Linked DNA regions of Oryzias latipes. The protein of the gene in region 1 purifies or fractionates together with the protein of each later gene. This does not show direct contact. Links are inferred from orthologs where the notes say so. Each region holds a gene or a part of one and is shown in the gene's direction. Other genes may lie near its edges.

Region 1 (4,340 bases):
AAATTATCTCAAAAATCAGAACTGTAGCTTCAGCTTTAACTCTTCAACAGAACCCTTTTTTAATGCGGTAGGTAGGGTAGAAATCAAGTTTTAAACTTCCTTTGCAACTTTATCATCCTGGCCTTTTTCAAAACTATTTTTATTTGTTTTTACTTTGTTGTCATGAAATCCATATTTTCAATCCAAGCTTAAATACAAAAGAATATTACAGCCATAGGGAACAAAAAAAGGCATTAGTAGATTTTTTTTTTCCTTTAAAGAATCATAGCTTTCATCTCAGAATTCAAACATGTTGTGTTCTGGGATTTGATTCAAATTTTTGACTTTTTTTCTTCAAATTTGGAGATCAAAGTTGGAAATTAAATTTAAAAAAACAGAATTAAAGTCAGAATCTTAGAATTGTTGACTCCGATTGTTAAGTTTAATTCTCACAATTTTGATTTGGTTTCCAAGGTTTCCTACTCTAATCTTGGAATACAAACAGTCAGAATTTCAGGATTAGGGTTAAAATTGTTAGGAAAAAAAGTCAGGACAAAAACAGAATTCTGAGGTCCAGACTTTAATCTCAAAATTTGGACTTCTTTTCCTCAGAATTCAATATTTAATTTGCAAAACGTTTACGGGCGAAATGCAGACAGGCTGCCCAGGCCGGTTGTAGGATGATGTCATGAAATGGGCGGAACCCACACGGAGCGAGAGGCGGTGCTTCAGAGATCGAGTCTATTACTTCCAGGTTGGAAAAGAACTCAGGAAAATGACTCATATTTAATAAAATAAAAAAATTATTTAGTGCACCATGGGTAATATACAGTCAGGAGCTAAGCCATTTTTTAAACACAATCCTTTCATTTCATGGGCTCGTAAGTAATTGGACAAATGAAATAACTGAAAACAAAATGGTCATTACTAATATTTGGTTGAAATCCCTTTGTTGGCAATGGCAGCCTGAAGTCTTTAAATTAGAATTTTAAAGACAAAAAATTATAATGCTAAATTTTAAGTCAGAATTTTAAGATTAAAATCAATATTCCAAGATTAGGTTGGAATTCTGAAATTAAATTGAGCATTTTTAAAGAATTCAGAATTTCTCACCACTTTATTTCCATTATGTTCCTTATCCTCTTCCATACTCAAAGGAAATCAACAAAATTAACTTTGTCTCGCATTTGGCCAAATGTTCGAGAGCAGCCAGTACTTTTATGTAGGTTATTTTATTTATTTATTTTATGTTTGCACGACTTGCAAAATGCTAATTCAATGTCTTATTTGGCATAAACAAGTTACCTCCTGGTTTTAGTGAATATCTATATTTTGGTCAGAGCTTCAGCCAAACGTCAGCATTCGTCTTAATCACACATTTTATTTATTTTATATTTATATCATTACAAATTTGAGTTTTTCCCTCCAACGGGGGCTCCAAACCCAGCAGTGACGCAGATGGGCGGGGCATGTTCAGGAGAGCGCCTCTCTGATTGGCTCGTGCGGCGGTATAAAGCCAGACCGAAGCGTTTCTACCGGCTCTGAACAGACGGAGATACCCGCGGACACCGACAGTCTCCCAGGCCAGCGAGGAGGGAGTTCCCCCGCTGACAGACGGCCCCCAGCTGTGGACCCATTTCCCGTGATCGTAACTCAATGAAGGAGAGACGCTCCGGCCAGAAGTCCTCTCTGAAGTCCAGCATGGATGCGAGTCAGAGTGTGAAGTGCAAGATAGTGGTGGTGGGGGACAGCCAGTGCGGGAAGACCGCGCTGCTTCACGTGTTCGCCAAGGACTGCTTCCCGGAGGTGAGACGCCGCAGACTCACGGCACGAAGATCCCGTGAACGCATCACGGGGAAAACGTCAAATTCTGTGTGTTTTTCCTTCAGAGTTACGTTCCCACAGTGTTTGAAAACTACACGGCCAGTTTTGAGATCGACACCCAGAGGATCGAGCTCAGCTTGTGGGACACTTCAGGTAAACATTTAAAACACCAAACTTTATTGTTTTTTTTTTTTTAAATTATCAATAATCAAATGAATCCCTGACTCATTTTAGTGGAGGATGCTGGGAGTTTTACAAAATAAATGCAATTTTTCTTTTTTTTTTAAACCTCCATTTTTGGATTATTTGCATTAAAAACATTTCAGTGGATGATTCATCGGATCTGACTCTAGGAACCAAAACCAAAAAACTTGGCCCAGCTGGTATTCCAACTCATTTTGGGGAATTCTTCTCACTTTTCTGAGAATGTGCAACTTTTCATTGACTGGTTCACTTTTTGCCCTTTTATCTAAGGTTTGTGCACCCCCCCTTCCCCAGAAAAAAAACACCCCTAAAACTGCTGGGATCCAGAGGTGTTTATCTCCACTGTGTTTGTCTGGAATCACAGAGGTTTGGCCGCCATGGAGGCACACACTGCAAGTGTGCAGAGGCATGTGGTGTGACCGTGTGGGAGAGAGGGATGGGTGGGGAGAAGTTGGCCGCCAGCTGTTGTGGGTTCCTGGTCTGGAATTCCAAACATTGCGTCGGAATAACTTGGAACACGGGAACCGGCTCATGAGTTTCACACGAGGGCCCCCCCCCCCAAAGCACAGAGAACCCTACCACCCCTTGATTGATGGGTGCTGGTTTCCAGTGTCGAATCTTGTGGGAGGGGGAAGGGTTGAGCAAGGCCGGGAACTGCACCTATCCTTTGTTGCGGTGTGGTGTGTTTTGGTATTTGCGTCATTTAGTGTAAACGCCTGCCAGTTGTTGGACCCTCCATTTGTCTGAGGGGAGGGGGTGTCATAGCAGGGCGAGGAGGACTTTGACTCATGTTTGCACGCCCCAACCAGCAGCAACGGCGCCGGGGTTGAACAGGACAGGAGCACCAACCCTCAGGCCCCCTCCTGACCGAAGGGAAAGTTAGCAAACGCCCAACAGGCTCGTTACTGTTGATCACAGGAGATGCATCAGATGAAGGTCCTTCCAGCTGGCATGCGAGACGCTGAAATTAGCTTCATTATTTATGACCTTTAGTTAACGGGAACGGTCGACGCTAGCTGTAAAGAACAGCCTGACGTGGTTATTGCCGGATAAACTTGACAAGTGTTGCTCATTTTGTCTTGCTGCTCAGTGTAGACTCTGAAATGAGGTTCGCTTCTGGTTCAACTCGGCACTCTTTTGTTGACTTTAACGTAAAAATATTTTTTTATTTAAAACGTCACAGTTTGACTTCCGGAGTGAAGTCTGTTTAAATCGAAATTGGTGTATTTCACAAAGCAACCACTAGAGTTTTTTTTTTTTTTTTTTTTTTTTTTTTTAACGCCTAGACCTCTATATTAAATGAAACGTCAAAAAAGTCCTATCGATAGGACTTCTTTAAATGTTGACTTGCAAATGTCACACTTGAGGGTGCTATTCCTTTGATTTTAACGCCAAATTCTTTGATCTCGAAAGACTTGGTGGTCGTATCTCAAGTTGGCAATTTTTAGAAATATATTTTCTAAAAGATGAAATCACTGACTCGTATTGTATCTTCCTTATTTCTTTCAGTTTAAGATGCCTAAACCGTAAAATTGTTCTTTTACATTTTGTGCGACCTTGGAAATAGGTTCCATAATGAATGATGAGGCGGCTCTTATTCATGCCTCCTTCATTTACACTCATACCTTTTTTCAATAGAAGTTTTCTGCATCTTGAAAGTGAATAGAAACTTTTGCAAAAAAAAACAAACAAAAGCTTGCGTTTCTTGTTGCCATGGAAACGGGATAATTGATAAATGGTTAATTCTTCTTGCCTTGCCACTCTTTTGTTGACATGGAAACAGGAGATGTAGCCAAATAATTTCCTCTCTAAACTGTATGTCTTTATGTTTTAAAGGGAATAGGCAGCAAAGTTTCTATAGATCTATGCTAAATCTGATCCTAAATGCATCATCCAGCTCTGAGGGGAGGCTAAATGTGAGTCAGTGTTTGCCAGTTTTGAAATGTCTATAATAGTTTGACTCGTTGCACAACTCTTCCCTGTTTATGCTTTACTGTTGTTTCCATAGACTCTGTCGTAACCGTGCCGACGCGTTTGGACTTTCAGAGTTTGAAATGCTGGTTTTGTCAGAATGCTGGTCTGTGTTTGACGCTGCAGGGATGTTGATCCAAAGCAGATGTTCCTACAGTCAGATGTGAGGGTTTCTTTTTGGGTTTTGCAACTTATTGTTTGAGCAATCTGAGAGCTAAAAGAGTTTTTTTATTTATTTTTTTGGATTTTCCTGGAAAACATGCTGATGTGAATCGGTACTTCGGCTGTAATTGGAGTTCCTTGTTGCTCGTTTTAGGAGAGTTTCCAAAGCCTCAGAGCATAAATGTTGCGATAAAACCCCA
Region 2 (2,348 bases), on another chromosome or scaffold:
TTTTTGGTTCCTGACAGCTAACAAGTGTGTTATTTTACATAGCAGATCACCTCCATAAGTTAATTTTATTATAGTTATATATAACCAATAAATGCATTTTGCAAGAAATTTTTTTCTGCCTTTTTTCGTACCGAAAAAATACCGAAAATGTATCGAACCGAGACCAATGAAATTCTGAACCGAACCAAATTGGGATTTTAGTGTACCGTTAAACCCCTAGTATTTACAGTACCCAACCTTGTAGGCAACAGGTAAAAAACAGACTGATACCGCTAAAACAACATTACTGTGACAACGCAAACTCCAAACCTTGTTTGCAACACGTAGAAAAAAACAGACTGACCTCTTAAAACCGCTCCAACATCAGTAAACACAACCAGAATGAATCCATCCAGCCTGCATCCCGGGCTCCCAGCACCCGTCGAGGCTCGAGGTAAAATTGGAGGCTTCACGCTCTTCCCGTCTTCTTTTAGATCCTCAAAGAGTACAACCGCTTCGATCTGATGGCTCCCATGAGGGGAACGTCGCCAGAGGAGACTCGACAGCTGCAGCTGGAGGGAGCGCTGAGGATGAAAGAGGGCAAGGACAGCAGGGTAAAAGCACACCACTCCCTATAAACACTCCATTATCGCTTACCTCTGCCAAGAAGCTACACCTGCTTTCAGTCTGTTGCCTCATATTTCACGTTTAAAATGTTTACTTTTTTTTTTTAAAAGCTGTCCCAACTTTACATACAATTCAATTCATTTCCTGCTCAGATGGACGTCTACTGCTTCCTGTTCACTGACCTGCTGCTGATTACCAAACCGGTGAAGAGGCTGGAGAAGGTTAAGGTTATCCGCCAGCCCCTCCTCATCCACAACATCGTCTGCAAAGAGCTGAAAGATCCTGGTAAGAGTTCTGCTGCTGGTCCGACTGTGACGGCCGGGATTACCTAAACTTTTTGTTAAAGACTGAAGCAGGAAAGTTTAATTTCATGCCTTTTTTTTGTCCCTTAAGGCTCCTTTATCCTCATCTACCTCAACGAGTTCAACAGCGCTGTGGCGGCCTACACTTTCCAGGCCAACAGCGCCACTCAGGGGCGATGCTGGATCGATGCAATCTACAACATCCAGGTTGGTAAAACAGAAATGGTTCATATTGTTTTTAGCTCTGAAATGGCTCAGATTGTAAAATGTGCTTCCTGGGTTGTTTTTCCAGAATCAGCTGCAGAGGCTTCGCAGCGAGGAGGACCTGCGGCGGCAGCAGCGCCCAAGGAGCTGCTCCGGGGTGGACGTTGACGATGAGAGCAGCAACTCCACCACGAGTTCCCCAATCCTGCAGCATAAAGAGCAGCAGAACTCCAGGTACATTTACAAATTCCTCAATAACGGAGCGTGCTGAGACCCGCTATGCGTTGGCGCATGCATCAGAGGGTTTTCGATTGACCGTTTGGCATGTCTATCAAGACGTATTTCAGAGCGAGGCTGATGGTCATGTAAATAAATGAATAAATCTATTTTTCTTGTATCTTTGATGGCCTACTATCCCCCGGCACTTCCATCACGCTTGACCGGTTGATCGCGATTGATGTATCGGACGGTCTTGCCTTAAGAAGCGCCCATCAAAAAAATCAATAGTAAATGTGATCTTTAAACCCTGCCGTTGGCTTTGGGACAAGTTTAAAGAACAAAAGAGCTAAAGTTTTTGTGTTTCAAATAATTTTGAAAAGACCTGATTTTCCAAAAATGCTTGATCTGACTCATGTGTTGTTTAGGAAGTAAAATAAATGTCTCTTGCAGTCATTCAGACGGCTCCACTGAGACGCTGTCGGTGATGGACATGGAGGAGCGAAGCGAGCCCCCGCCGCCCCCCAGCATAAACATCGAGGAACCCGGGGATAAGTCTCCTCTGTCTGACAGCTCAGACCTCCAGAGTTCCCCCCAGCTGAACGGTCTGGAGGTAGAGGGGCTGGACGCTCAGTGCCGGTCTCTCTCCATGGACAGCGCCTACGGTACCCTCTCCCCGGGATCGCTCTCTCGGGAGCTGCAGCCGCCGCCCGGCCCAAGTGAAGGGGAGGAAACCGAGGAGGAGGACGGAGATCGAAGGAGTAAGGGAGAGGAGCAGGGGGAGGCGGTAACCGAGGAGCTGGATGATGAAGAGGAGGAGGTAGAGGAGGAAGAGGCCGCTCTGGGGTCTCAGGCGTCCGTTGCTCTGTCCAGTAAACCTCGCCGGCGGCCTCACATTCAGTCAAAGCTGCAGTGCCCACAGCGGCTGTCCGCGCTGTCACGCTCCGAGGACAACCTCCTGCAACGTTTCCACGGCGACGCCCCCATCTCTCATGCACACTTGGTCAGCTCCGCCTCCAA

The links. The genes of interacting proteins can lie anywhere in the genome.
Region 2: the proteins of rnd3 (region 1) and plekhg5 purify together in Homo sapiens (affinity purification with western blotting; 3 studies listed by BioGRID and IntAct, with this or other methods). This does not show direct contact. The link is inferred for Oryzias latipes from reciprocal best matches to the Homo sapiens genes RND3 and PLEKHG5.

What each region holds. Positions count from the first base shown.
Region 1 is NC_019860.2:17,608,145-17,612,484, reverse strand, and holds the start of rnd3 (rho-related GTP-binding protein RhoE), read left to right. Parts: upstream 1-1,513; 5' UTR 1,514-1,635; coding exon 1,636-1,785; intron 1,786-1,868; coding exon 1,869-1,956; intron 1,957-4,340. UniProt on the Homo sapiens protein: Binds GTP but lacks intrinsic GTPase activity and is resistant to Rho-specific GTPase-activating proteins.
Region 2 is NC_019865.2:24,328,708-24,331,055, forward strand, and holds part of plekhg5 (pleckstrin homology domain-containing family G member 5), read left to right. Parts: intron 1-473; coding exon 474-593; intron 594-758; coding exon 759-891; intron 892-999; coding exon 1,000-1,115; intron 1,116-1,200; coding exon 1,201-1,346; intron 1,347-1,781; coding exon 1,782-2,348. UniProt on the Homo sapiens protein: Functions as a guanine exchange factor (GEF) for RAB26 and thus regulates autophagy of synaptic vesicles in axon terminal of motoneurons. Involved in the control of neuronal cell differentiation.